Notamacropus eugenii: one gene and its partner. The protein of the gene in region 2 interacts with the protein of the main gene of each other region in a biochemical or structural test. Links are inferred from orthologs where the notes say so. Each region holds a gene or a part of one and is shown on either strand. Other genes may lie near its edges.

Region 1 (7,420 bases), on a different chromosome or scaffold from region 2:
GAGTACTTTTGTTCAGGATTCCCCAGAACTGTCTTTACCTTGTGGGGCATGGGACAATCTAAGAAGTGTCTTAAGAGCTTTATGTTTCTGTACCTAGGTTCCTGTTAATCTTTTGCATTTTAAGAATTTTATGTAGAGGGTGAAATAAAGGTTGTCCCATATTCAATATCTGTGTTTCATATTAAATGCTATATAAGACTAGGGGACCCTTGCCTACGTTTGAGGAGACACTGAGTGAGCTACACTTAAGCTTTCTTCAGATTTTTCCCAGAGTAAAAACTCCAGCCTGAAGGCAAAGAGCAATAATGGCTCCTTTGGGATCAACCCTCCCCCCCCCCCCCCCCCCTGCACCCCCTCCCCATCAGACCTGGGTTTATGTGAACCTAGAGTCCCTGAGACACATGGAAGTCACTCTGGACTGTTTTCCTACAAAGTATTCTCCTTTTTTCCCTTTTCCTCTTTAGGGAGAAGAATAGTACTCTGAACATTTCAGAGTCCCTTTTCTTAGGAGGTCCATAGTATTTTTAAAATGCTCCTATGTTTCTATAACAGACGCCTTGGCTCTTCATATTGGCCACACAGATGTGTGTGCCTTGACTTTAAAAAACACTATTTTATAGAGTTCTCCCAAAGATGCAACCTTTCTGTAGGCTGTTTGAATTTCTTAAGGTGGAATGATCCTAGTTTGAACTTTTAGAGACTAACTACAATAGACATGCTAATTTCAGAAATGAAGGGGCAGAAATATTATGAATACAACCATTATTAAAAATATCTCCCAAAGAAACAAACTAAAAGAAATTGTAAAAGTTAAAATATATTTACCACCCTTAGAAAAGGAGCAAGGACAAAAGATTAGAATTACCTTGGTTTCTTGGATGATTTCTTCAGGTTTTTTTTTTTAATTCACATGCAACAGTAGGTGACATGGTTGGCCCAGACTATCAAGCTCCATCCTCCTGACCTTTCCAGTCTCTACCAAAAAGTTTCTGAGACACAGACAGAGGGAGAGGAAGAGGTGGGCCTTGAGACAGTGAAGGCAGTAGATTCTGAAGATTTTCTGCATACAAAGAATGAACTCTTCTTTGACAACAAACGGGTAGAAAACTCTCTTTAAAAACCACATCTATCGCTAAACTGTGCATACTCTTTGACTCAGAAATACTTCAAATAGACATATATCCTGAAGAGATAAAAGAAAGATGAAAAGAATTCATATGTACATACTCATAGCAGCACTGTTTTTGTAGCAGTGAACTAGAAGCCCATCAGTTGAAGGAATGGTTGAAGAAAAATCCCTTATAAGTATAAATGCTATCAAGTCATAGGAAATGATGATCTGGAAGGATTCAGAGAAACTTACCAAGAGATATGAACAGATGCAGAGTAAAATAAGCAGTACGAGGACAGCAATTTAGGTGGTAACTATAAAATTATAAAGAAAAACAACTTTGAAGGACTTGACCAACTATAACTCCATAAGACAGAGGATGAAATGTGCCTTCTGCCTTTTGACAGAGAGGTGAATGGATTAGAGATACAGAAAGGCACACAACATTTGCAAACACCTTCAATATCTGTTTTGGTTGGATCTGTTTTGTTATACTAGGCCAATGTATTACAAGGGAAGGTTTTAATTTCTTTTTTAGGGGAATGTGGAGTGCAGTGACTAGTGACTAGTGACTAGTGTTAACAGGGCTCTCCGAAAATGAAAGACAAGAATGTCAATCAATAATTTGATATGGACAAGAAAAGAACAGAAGGTTTAGAAGGACACATAATCAGAACAGCTTTTGGAAGTAAGGTGATGACCCAACCCATGTATATTTGACTCATGGTTTATAAGCAATGTTCTTTTTCTGTTTTTCTTTGCATAAGGAAATGTTGAGGTTTGTTGGTGTACATCAAGTATGGAATAAGAACAACAAAAAAGGAAACATTAAGCATGTTTAGAAATTGGCAAGAATTTCTCCTGTCCTCTGTCACTGACTCCTACACCTGTTATTTGGGTGTTGCGTTGTTTCTTTGGCATTTCCTTTCTACTTGAACTGCTGATCTATAATCCTCAGAATCATAAGATGTTATCTTGAAGGCCATCTACAGAACCACCTCTCATTATAGCGAAGAAGTAATCAGTACTCCATGCAAAATAAGCCAATCTTTTCTGTGCTAGAGGGAGCAAATGCTCCCTCACATGCTCCCTCCCACCTCCCTCTCCAGAGGAAAAAAAAGGCCAAACAATGTCCTCAGGAAAGAAAAGTCGGGGTCAAATCATTGGAAAAATTCAAGCATCAGACACACCTATGACTGGCCACAAGTTTTACATCAAACCCTCCAAAAGCAGGCTTAAAACCTGATACTACCCTACAGTTGAAGGAAGGCAGCCTCCAATAATACTGAAATGCACTACTGGCCCATATGAAGAAATCTGTATATGGAGTGGAGGCACTTATACAAAACCTCTTGCTTTGTAATCAAATCTGGCCTCGGTCCCACCTTCCCCCTACCCCCCTCCATTTTCCTGTTTTAACTTCCTGAGCACTGTTGGGGAAAAAATGTTGATTCTTAGCTCCAGTGTTGCAGAGGGTAACAGACTGGGAAAGTATCCAAATCATCGCTAGTTCAGATGAGTTGACATGGCAGTAGAAGTTTCATAATTATTCCAAAAGACACGTCCAATGAGAATAATATGCACCTTAAAGTAATTTGCAGGTTATCACTTCACTTGCATCTGAAATTTGTATCCTGGGTGAGCTGCTGCAGATAGTGAGGGTTAGGGGGGAGGGGCGGTGATACTGAGAATAGGGAAAAGAGAAAGATGAGGGAACAGTTGATGGAAGAGAGGATGTTGTTTGCTAGTGGCTGGTCTCAGGTGGAAGAAATTGCTACAGCCAAACGGTTGAAGAATTTAAAGAGACAGAAACAGGTTTCTACATTTATGAGAACATCGTTTTTCCTGGACTCTAGTAGGGAGAGCAGCAAAACCTTTGATTCTGGGATTAGCTCCAGATGATTCTTACTCGACTCTTTTTATCTAAGGTCGTTTCCTGGCTTTTGTTCCTTTTTCCTATACATGCACTTCTAAATACTCTAGTCATCCAAGCTCTGCTCGCTACCCCTGACTTTTCTGGGAAAAGTTGACTCCTGTTTACTGCCCTAACCCCTTGGCCCCTCCGCTCCTTATCAGGCTGCTCTGGAAGGGAGACGTCGGTACAAGCTACGGAGCTTTCCAGCTGAGCCTGAGCGCCAAGCCGGCTCACCACCCCAAGTTCCGCGCCCCGTCGCCTCCCCTTCCCTCCAATTCTGGCCGGCGACTTTCACAGCCTTTAGGTTTTCTGACCTTCGCAGCCCAAGCTGGCGGGGGTACCACGGAGCAGGATGAGCAGATCTTTTAGGTACCAAGCAAACTGTATGGAACCAGCCTCCTTCCTCCCCCCGCCGGTGAGACTAGGAAGAGCAGGATCCGAAACGAGAAGAGCTGCGCCCGCCCAACTCCGTGAACTGCCAATTTATGCTATTTATTTTTGACTTTTAATTTCTCAAAGACTAGCCTGAGAGCGTTGCTTACTCCAGACCCCCCTCGCCCCCCAGCTCCCACCCCCGATACCTCGCGATCGCACAAGTCTCATTCCTCTGCTTTGCAAACCAGCACGATTTCGGTAGCGTCGAGAGGTATCTGGCAGAACTGCGCCCGGACTACCTTAAGGCAAAGCGCCTAAACGCAGCGAACCAGCCTCCGCGGGGTGGCTCCCGAAGCCACAGCCAATGGCTCCCCTTCTCTGTTTAAATAGATTTGCAATGTCAATCATTTTCTCCTTCTTCAGCCTCCCTTCCACCGCCATATTGGGCAACTAAAAAAAAGTGCTCGGCTTTTTGGGGTGTCTTTTTATATTCCTTCCCTTTCCCAGTCTCTTCCTACACCACGACTTTTGAGATCAGCCAGGTGTTTTTGTTTGGTTTTGTTCTGTTGTTTCCTCCGCGGCTCGGTTTGGGAAACCCACAGGCTCTTACCGGCTGGGTCTTGGACTAGCTTTTCCAATTCCCCCCTCCCCTCCCCTCCCCTCCCTTTCTCTCCTTTCCCCCCCTCCCTCTCCCTCCCTACGTCCCTCCCTCCCTCTCTCCCTTACACTTGATCTGCTGGGAGACTTTTCTGCTGGCTCTCCCGGGCTTCCCCCTGCCCCCTCCCCCAAACCCAACACTGATCCTAAAGCTTGTGTAATTATTGGTGGTTGTTTGTTTCCCTTGGCCCCGAAAGGGAATCGCGGGACCTATATAAAAGGGGCTACGTGTTCGGATTTTTTTGTTGTTGTCGTTTTTAAAAGTTGAGTGGAGACGAGGGAGGACGATGTCAAACGTGCGTATTTCGGACGGGAGCCCGACCCTGGAGCGGATGGAAGGCAGGCCGGCGGAGTACCCCAAGCCTTCAGCTTGCCGAAACCTCTTCGGCCCGGTGAACCATGAAGATTTAACGCAGGACTTAAAGAAGCATTGCAGGGACATCGAGGAGGACTGCCAGCGCAAGTGGAACTTCGACTTTCGGAATCACAAACCCCTGGAGGGGAGTTATGAGTGGCAACCTGTGGAGAAAGACAGTTTGCCCGAGTTTTATTTCAGGCCCCCGCGGAACCCCAAAGGGAGATGCCAGGGGCCCGGCCAGGAGAGCGGTGATCTCAACGGAGTGCGCCAAGCGGGGTTTTTTATTGCTTCTCAGGGAATCTCAGAGGACACCCACTTAAGAGATCAAAAGACTGAGGGTGCATCCGAAAGCCAGACGAGTTTGGCAGACCAGTGCACTGAGACGAGGAAACGACCAGCCACGGATGGTAATCGCTCCTTTAAAATTAAAATAAAACAAACCCCTCCCTTGTTTACTCGGTCTGTCTGGGCCACTCCTTGGCTTTACTGGAGGTCCGTCCCCGAAGTTGTGTCTAGAGAACACCAGCTCAGTTCTTGGCTTTTCCATCGGTAGCTGAAGCTATTAACCTTACGCTCCGGTGCTCTCATCTAACTAGTTATCATTTCTTTTGAGTTAAGGCTACTAGTTGTGTTTCCTGCCAGTCGGTGTAAAAATTTATCTGTAAACTTAACGTTTAAAACCCACCGCCTTCCTAAAACACCTGTCCCCTCCCCCAGTCTGCCATCATAAGGTATGTTAGTCACCCAAACTATTATCTTGCAGCTAGGATGTTCCTAATTATCCCTTGGGAAAGATTGCGCTATGTTATCCCTCGATAGGTACCGGGGTCTTGGGAGCAGGTCTTTGTTAATAGCAACAATATTTTCAGGATTTTAATACAATCAGATTGCTCCAGGATTGTGGGTGGTGGTAGTATTTCCCCCCTCCCTTCCCCCGGCTAACTTTTGTTAGCTAATGCTTTTAATAAAATCTGTTGCTTGTCTTCCCCTCCTCCTCTCCACAATTTCCCCTGCTAGATGTCTCACCTCAAAACAAAAGAGCCAACATTACTGAAGAAGAGGTCTCAGACACTTCTCCCAATGCTAGTTCAGTGGAGCAGACGCCCAAGAAGCCCAGTCTCAGAAGACATCAAACGTAAACTACTTAGGTGGGTTGCTTAGCTAGGGTTCAGAAATGAAACCAAACTGCACTGCTGGAACTGGTAGTCTCTGCAAACTCCTCAACACATTTTATTTATTAGTTGCCTATGGATAAGAAGTTTGCTAGTTTGTTAAGGGTATTTCAGGCCCCCTTCCGCCCCCTCATACACATTTTGTGAAGTTGAAAGAATAAGGAGTAGGGGAAAGGGTCGTTGAGTTTCATGCAGTTTTCTCCATCAGGCAGATCTTTTCTTGAGACAAATTAAGCAGTTACTCCAGAGTGAAAGATAGCATCCTGGATGAAGACTTATCCTGGAGGTAGTTCCTGGTGAAAGGGAGATCATCCTCTTATGAGCCTTCACAAAAACTTGATTGGAAGATGAGATTTTTTTCAGCCCTAAATAGGGCTGTGGTTGTTCTGTGACCCAGCAGAGGAGTTTGAAGGTTTTATCATTTTTCAGTGGTTTCAAATAAAGGCATTGTGTGGACCCAGAGGGAAGAAGGGGAAACAAATGGTTTCATCTTTTCATTTGAGAATAAACGGAGCTCCAGTGAGTCACAGAAGAGTTTAGAAATAGGATAAAGTGGCATGTGCAACTCATTTATTTTGATCCTTCTAGTGTCACACCACTTCTACTGGGTTTTTGGAGGGTGAGGGAAACATGTTTATGCAGAAGAACACGCAGAATCATTAAAAGTTACTCACAAAGTTTTTCCACAGCTCTGAAGTGCTGCAAAGTAAAAGTTAATGAATTCTGTCCCCCTTAAGCAATCTGGAACATGTCAGCATGTATATGCAAATTGTGCTAGAACAACTCACTATTTGGGTATTTCAAGGGGAAAGGAATAATAAGTATCAGGGCTGGCTAAGGCTGTCTACTTAGCTCTAGGGAAGTGGAGATTTCAATAATATGCTGAATTTGATCAGTTTAGATAGATGGAATAATTCAGTCCTCAAAGCTCTATTTAGGGGGCCTTAATTCTTCAGGCCAGCTAATTCTACTAGTCTACTAGGAGAAACTGAGTCTCATTTCTCCCTATAATATTCTTTATCAGTGGCTGCCACCTGGTAGGTGCACAATAAGCATTTATGGAATGTCGATGGAAACTACAATATAGAGGACACTTTAAAAGTGTGTGAGGGCATGTTTTTATTTCTTAAATTGAAAAGTCGCTCCAGTTTTTTTATGTAAATTAAATGTATATAACCTCCATACAATACAAAATGCCCACTTGCAGGGGCTTGTTGAAAGATGGCTTTATAGAACCTCTCTATACAGTGGAGGAAATTGGATGAAATTGTTGACTAATTCACCTGAAGATGTCAATATCTGCAGTGCTGCCAGGTCTCTTTCATATATCTTTATGTCAGACCCTCATAAAGTTTTGGTCTTGACTTATTCAGCTAAGCAAGACTTCTCAAATTCAAAGAATCTTTAGAAATGTTTACTCAGAGCACTGGCAAACTTAAAACAAACAAACAAAAAAAGCAACTGTACACATATATTCATCACAAGAAACAAGGATAAGCTTTAAAATTTTTTACCCTATTAGCTTAAGAGATAGCCATAAAATATTGCCAAAGGTCTTTTCAGCTGGATGAACTAGCTTAAAGGGCTACAACAGTTTACCTATACCATATTCATTTTGCATCTTCTTAATTTTTTTTGTACTGACCACTTAACTATGTGATTAATTCCTAGTACTCTCCTCTACCAATGTAGATCAACAATATATCTCTGTAACTTATGATCTTAAGAAAAAAAAGTTGCCTGGGGCACTAAGACTTTCAGTGACTTTCAAATCAGAACTTAAACCCTGGTCTTCATGACTCCAAGGCCCACTATGCCATGTTTTCCCCCTC
Region 2 (7,026 bases):
GACGTGTGTATGATAACTTGAAACCAAGACCGAATGTGAGTAGGGCCACAATAAAATGATAACTTATGTTTTTAGAGTGCTTTAGAGTTTACAAAGCATTTCCTCACCACCCACTTGTGAAATTGGTTGTACCAGTATTATCATGCCCATTTTGTTATTGTTGTTTGACCTTTTACTCTAGGATTTTACAGATAAGGATGCTGACATCCAAAGTTGAAGGGGCTTTCCCTGAAGCTGTAAGCGGTGCTTTCTTTCATATAAGAATACTGCACCCATTTAACTCTAAGGTTTTAAGGAGGGTGACATTACTTCTAATTGGAGGATCCTGTAAATCAGTGGGTAAATAGGTCTCCATTTAAGACAATTCCGTTCATAATGTACCTTTCAAGAATGTACAAATTCAATGAAGATATATTCTGTGCCTACAATACACAAGGCATCTACTGTGTATCAAGTGCTGTGCTATGCACCTGGGACATAAAGGAGAAAAGACAACAGTCTTTACTCTAAAGGAATTTTTATTCTATTGGGAAAACAACACATGCACATTGAAGCCAATACAAAATAGCAGCTGGGGTTATAGGAAAAGTCTCATGTAGGAGGTTCCACATGACTAGAACTTCAAAAGAAACTAAGGATTGTAAGAAGTGAGGTGGGGCTGCATTCCCAGGATGGAATAACAATAATAATAAAAACTAATTTTATATAGTGCTTGGGCAGCTAGGTGACCCAGTGGATAGAGTGCTGGGCCTGAAGTCACAAAGATTCCTCTTCCTGAGTCCAAATCTGGCTTTAGCTGTGTGACCCTGGGCAAGTCACTTCACCCTGTTTGCCTCAGTTTCCTCATCTGTAAAATAAGCTGGAGAAAGAAATAGCAAACCATTTTAATATCTTTGTCAAGAAAACCCCAAATGACATCAGGAAGAGTTGAACTTGACTGAAATTATTGAGTGCTTACTATATGCCAGGCAGTGTGGTAAGTGAGTTACATTTATCATCTCATCTGATCCTCACAGCAACCCTGGGAGATACACTATTATTATAATATCCATTTCTATGGATGAGGGAACTGAGGTAAATGTTAGTGTATGACTCCAACTCAAGTCTTTCGGATTTCAGGCCTAGCACTCTCTCCACTTCAAGGAGATGGGAAATGGAATGTTGTGTACCAGGCATAGTAAGTAAGCCTGTTTAGCTGTTTCAGTTTCCTGTGTATCCCCCCTATCCGCTAAGAACCTTGCTTTTTATTTCACTGAATGAATGAAGTCTTTCCTCAGAAGCTATTTCTCCAGACATTTGCACCCACTGCCTCTTCCCTCACCTCAGCCACACGTGAAGAGATGGCCCCTTCTCCCTCTCTATCCCATTTTTTTTCTCCAGCAGATTTTCTCCATCATCCATACTCCCTATCTAATCTTCAATCTTTCTCCATCTACTGACAACTTTCCCAATGCTTACAAACACACCCGTCTTTCTTCCATCCTCAAAAGTCTCTCATTTAATCCATCCCTCCCCATTAATAATCATTCTGTCTCTTCCCTTCCCTGGCTAACCTCCTTGAGAAGGTTCACTACAATGGATGCCTCCATTTCCTTTCCTCTCACTTTCTTCTTCTTCTTTTTTTTAAAGAAGTCGTGATTATTTAAATAGTTGGCAAAAACAAAACAAAAAAAGCAAAAGCAAACAAGTTTATGGATCTCAAGTTAAGAAAACCTGCTTGAGACACATTTTATTCTCATCACATCCCTCTCCTAAAGAGCAGGAGACCTTTAAGAGAACAGGAGTCGTGTCTTATCTAAACTTTGTTTCTTCTATTTCTAGTGTAGTGCTCAATAAATATGTATTTCTTTAAAACTTATTTATTAGAATTCATTTTTTAAAACTGAATTCCAAATTTGGTCCCTCCCACCTTTCCCCCCCTCCCTCTTAAGAAGGCAAAAAATGCAATATCAATCATACATGTCTCACTTTCTTCTCAACTCTCTGCAGTCTGGCTCAACCAAAATGCCTTTCTCCAAAGTTACCAATGATCTCTTAATTGACAAATGTAACAATCTTCATGCTTCATGACTTCTCTGATGCGTTTGACACTGGCTTTCACCCTCTTTTCCTGGATATTCTCCTCTCTCTAGGTTTTCATGACAAGTCTCTTTCCTGGTTCTCCTCCCACCTGACTGATTGATCCTTTTTCATAGCTTCTAGTTAGTAGCACTCAGTTAGAAATTACCATGAATTGTTTTGTCTTTCATGGATAAGTCTCTTCCTCACCCTTAGACTGTGAGTTCTCCTGAGGACAAGGTCTGCCCAAGATTATTCCTTTTCCGTCTCCCCTATATATCTGAACTGAACATAGTACCAGCATCCAGGGGCTTAGGTCATATCCTTCTCTCCAGTGAAAGGGCAGAAGACAGAAAAGACTGGTCCAGGGGTCCACTGCCTTGTTCCTGAGTCTCCTTTCCCCCCTGCCTAAACCTTAGGTTCAGTCCTTGGTGTCAGTTTAGTCTCATAGCTCAGGGGTCCAATGGTGTTGGCTCCATTAGCTAGCCAAATAAGTTCTCTCCCAGTCTTCTTTTTCTGGAGCATCTTGCTTATAATAGAAATTCTTACTCTGGCTAGGCTGGGTCATTCTCAGAGCCAGGTCGAGCAGGGACTTTCTTAGAATGGGTAATAGACCTGTATGTCAATTTTATCTTCACCCTCATCAATCTGGAAGTGCCATGAATCAGACGTAGGGAATTCTGCATTTCCCAGCTTTTTGCCAAAACATTCCGGTCCTGGTGTGGGTGGGGAAACTGTATAATTATTCTCCTTCCCCTGGAAAACAAATGGTTTTCAAAGTCTAGCTTTGTTACTTATTACCTACGTGGCCCTGGGCAGGTCACTTAAACGCTGGGCCTCAGTTTCTTCACCTGCAAAATGGGGCTAATAATAGCAATGATCTCCTGGGACTGTCATGAGGATCCAATGAGATGATTGATTACAAAGCGTCTGGCCACAGCAGCAGCTATTTTATTACTTGTAAAAAGAGGGGGCTATCTAACAGAGGACCAGCAAGCTTCTTTTCAGTTCTAAATTCAAATCTAAAACAAACTTAGGGCTAAAAGCTGATGAAGATGGGAGTAGACAAGAGGAAGGAGTGGGCTTTACTCCTGTTTAACCTTTCAGACTCAGTTCCCTCATTTGTCAAATGAGGGGCTTGGGCTGGATAATGGCCAAGGTCACAGTCTGTGTTCCTAAGACCCCGTAAGGGGAGGAGGAAAAGGAGGAAGGGAGAGCGGGGAGAAGAGAGCGAAGAGGAAGGAGAAGAGGATGAAAAAGAGAAGGGAGACGAGGAGGAGGACGAGAAAGGGAAGGGGGAGGAGGGAAAAGAGGAAGAAGGAGGCGGGGAGGAGCCGGGCGGATGTTGGCTGCATAGTTGGGGGAGGGCGGGGAAAGGGGAGGGCGGGCGCGCTAGCCGGGGCGGTGTGTGTCTGTGTTTGTGAGTGTGTGAGTGTGGGGGAGCGTGTGTGCAGGGCAGCGTGAGCCCGGGGCGCCAGGGCGGAGGAGGAGCCGGACGCGCTGGAGGGATCCGGAGGCCCCGCGCCCGGACTCGCGCCCCCCCCTCGCCCGCCCGGGCCGCGGTAGCCCCAGCCCAGAGCGCTGCAGGCGGCCGGGGGGTGGCTCTCCGGGCCGCCCCTCCCTCCTGCCCTCCCCGGCCGGACCCTGCGCCCCCAGCGCGGCCCAGCCCCCGCCCGGCCCCGGATCCGGCGGGAGGAGGAGGAGGAGGAGGAGGAGGAGGGGGAGGGGGGAGGAGGGCAGGCTAGCCGGACTCGGCAGCTGTAACAGCGGCTGCCACAGCTGGATCCCCGGCCCGGCCAATCCCGGCTGCGGCGGCGGCGGCGGCGTCCGGGGCCCGGGAGGAGGGGAGGAGGGAGGGGAGGCGCCGCGCCCCCCGCCCCCAGCCCCCCGCCCCGGAGCGGACTGGCATGCGGAGCGGGAGGCGGCCCCGGCCCGGCTAGGCCCGCGCCCCGCCAGCGGCACAGACCCCCCCCTCCACCCGGGGCCTGGCCAGGCCCGGCTCTCCGCAGGTAAGCGCGCATCCCGGCCGAGCCGGCGGCCTGCGGGGTCGGGAAGCCCGTCCTCCTGCGCCCCAGGGCCGGGAGAGGGGGGGCGCATGGCGCGGGGGCGGGGGTCCGGCCTGGTGCGCCCGGGCGCAAGACCCGCGGCACGGCGCGGCCAGGGCGCGGGCGCTTTGTTCCACGGGGTTGCGCCCCGGGACGTGGCTTTTTGTGTTTCCTTTTGTGCAAAAAAAAAAAAAAAGGAAGCGGGGCCGGGCTGGCTGCCCTCCCGCCTCTGCCCGCCTCTCCTCCCCGACCTTCTCTCCTCTCCCCACCGCCGCCGTATCCTGCGATTAGCGAACAGGAAGCTGTTGGCCGCCCCAAGCCAGCCGGGCCCCGGAGCCCAGACCTGCGAGCGCAAGGCTCCTGGCGCCCTCGGCCCGCTGGCGGGGGGCGTGGCGGGGCGCGCCGGGGCTGGGGGCCGGGAGCGAGCCTGGGCCGGCCGGCGTGCCATCCCTCCCCTCCTCCCCCCGGGAAGGGACCCGGGGGCACACATCCTGAGGTGCCCACCTAGGGAGGCGTGGGGCTCCCGGGGAGCTGGGCCACACCGGATTAGCCACCCCAGGGGAGCCCCTGCCAGGGCTTGGGGAAGATTTGCTCCTCGAAATCCCCGGCATCAGACTTTGCTGGACAGCCCTGGGTGCTGGTCCCATCTCTCGTGTCTCTTCTGTGTGACCTTGGGCAAATCGATTCACTTGTCTAGGTCTGTAAAATTCAGTTCTGCAAATGTGAAGTGCCTGTTGTGGGCAGGACCCTGCGGTTGACACTTCGAATACAAAGAAGCCTGGCATGCCCTTCTCTCAGGAAGCTTGCAGTCTAACAGAGGGAAAAGACTTGTCTCCAAATAATTGATTCAAGAGAGAATATGACGGGGCTTTTCAGTCTAAAAGGCAGAAATTGGAAGAGGGAGAGATGACTTAGCTGAGGGGTGGAGAACGGCTTCATGGAGGGGACAGTAAACAGCTGGAATTAACTGTAGAGGTGAGATTCCTGGGTGGGTAAATTGGGGCTGGCCTCTGGTGGCCCTTGACTGGCAGGTCTTTATTTACTAGGCTGTGGGGAGAGGAGGATTCACCGCCTTGCCTCCTATTGTGAGGATTTAATGAGAGAATGGAAGGGAAAGTGCTTTGGAAGCTATAAAGCATCTTGTACCTGTGAGGAAGGATTATTTTTGTCGTTAATGTATTCACTTACAATATGACCTTTCCTCAGTAATTACCTTTCTCCACCTCAGTTTCCTCATCTATCAGCGGGGGGTAAATAGAGTCCATTATTATTATGTGGGGTGGAGGGGATAGGCTGGAAAGAGTGCTTGTTGAGGAATTAAGAAACTTGTTTTCAGCCCAGCTACCACCTTGGCCAGTCACAGCGCTCTGTGCCAGTTTCATTAGTTCTAAAAGAGGATCATCCTTTAGATTGTGAGAGCCATTGCTTGAAGTACTTTGAATGAAAGACTGCCAAGATCTGGGTTCTAATCCTGCCTCTTGACACATGCTCATTGTGTGATCACAAAGCCTAACTTCTCACTGCCTCAGGCAACTGTCTTCAACTGTAAGTTACCAAGGAGTTGCCAGGTTGCACACTGATGAGAAGGTTGGTTGTGTGGGTGTGTGTATTTGGGAAAGACATGAATAACTTGGTGGTTCTTAAGACACCTATCCTTTCTGAACTATTTCTTTTGCCATTCCAGCTGTTGTCGGTCTGTGAGCTTCATGAGGGACTCATTTAAGTTCATATCTCAGCACAGACCACAGGATTCTTTCCACGTAGCAAGTTTTTAATCCTTGTTGTTTGATTTTGAATTTATAAAGCCGCTAGTCTTTTGAGGGCAACTTTGGGGTCTGCACAGCTCCAGGGAAGAGTTGGGAGATTCTCAGTTTCTACTAATCTCTAGGTCCCATCAAGCTTGTTCTTGAAACCTGGAAAATTTCACACCTTCATCCTCACCCTTTGAATGGTCTTTAATGTGTTTAGGTTCACAAAGCACTTTCTTCACAACTGTGCTGTAAGCAGTCTAATTTTACAGATAAGAAAACTGAGGCCTAGAGAGGGGAAATGGTTTGTCCATGACCACAAGCTAGCAAGTGTGCTGTGCTGCCTTACTCTGCATTGAGTTTGTGTGTCTGGTTCTGTGCTCAGCTCTGACCAGGGGAGAGATCAGAAGGAGAGATGTGATCTGTGCGTCTGGGCATTCTGTCTGGAGACTGCCTTTGTAAACAATATATGATGCAAGATCATATGTAAAACGGGACTTCAGAACTAGTGCACTTGGTCAGGAAGGGAGAGGTCAGCACAAGTTGTAGTAGTCTAGAAGGGCTTCCTGGAGAAGGTAGGACTTAATAACAATAACTGCTAGCATTTATATATAGGGCTTTAAAGTTTGCAAGGCATCTTATAATAAATATACAGATGCTGGGCCTCTTGAGAGTTCGACCAGTGAGTGGGACAATGTTTGTTTCTAGTCCCTTGGTTTCCCCAAATGCTTTCCTACCTATTACTTCATTCAACTTTTACCGTAAGAGGGGGTGGGGCAGGCTTTATTATTTCCTTACCTTTTTACAGGTGAGGAAACAAGTCCACAGTGCTTGTGACTTGCCTAGGGTCGCATGGTGAGCTAGGTTCTGCCCAAAAGAGGCCTTCAGCTGTTTGGAGAGAATGCCTCTTGATTCTAGGGTGGCTCAGGGTGTAGACTAATTTTAAGGGAATAACTTTTTGGCGTGTTTGGATTTTGTGTCTCACCCCCCACCTCTGATGTCCATGCAATTATCTGCACTGGGTGAGACTTGAGTGTTTCTGGGTGGGGGAGTGCCTCTCCTTTTTCCCCTCCCCTTCCCGCAGGGAGCCAACGACAGGCCTTTGGTACAGTTTTTTTTCTCAGTCCTCTCCACCTCTCTTATAGCTTTTGAACACTGATCACCCTCTTTTTCTG

The links. The genes of interacting proteins can lie anywhere in the genome.
Region 1: of the proteins of AKT1 (region 2) and CDKN1B, one has a biochemical effect on the other in vitro, tested with the Homo sapiens proteins (2 studies listed by BioGRID). The link is inferred for Notamacropus eugenii from reciprocal best matches to the Homo sapiens genes AKT1 and CDKN1B.

The regions. Positions count from the first base shown.
Region 1 is NC_092874.1:198,276,233-198,283,652, reverse strand, and holds the start of CDKN1B (cyclin-dependent kinase inhibitor 1B), read left to right. Parts: upstream 1-4,345; coding exon 4,346-4,823; exon of another isoform or gene 4,824-5,433; coding exon 5,434-5,555; 3' UTR 5,556-5,564; exon of another isoform or gene 5,565-5,881; intron 5,882-7,420. UniProt on the Homo sapiens protein: Important regulator of cell cycle progression. Inhibits the kinase activity of CDK2 bound to cyclin A, but has little inhibitory activity on CDK2 bound to SPDYA. Involved in G1 arrest. Potent inhibitor of cyclin E- and cyclin A-CDK2 complexes.
Region 2 is NC_092872.1:346,211,383-346,218,408, forward strand, and holds the start of AKT1 (RAC-alpha serine/threonine-protein kinase), read left to right. Parts: upstream 1-3,946; 5' UTR 3,947-4,067; intron 4,068-4,969; exon of another isoform or gene 4,970-5,078; intron 5,079-7,026. UniProt on the Homo sapiens protein: AKT1 is one of 3 closely related serine/threonine-protein kinases (AKT1, AKT2 and AKT3) called the AKT kinase, and which regulate many processes including metabolism, proliferation, cell survival, growth and angiogenesis.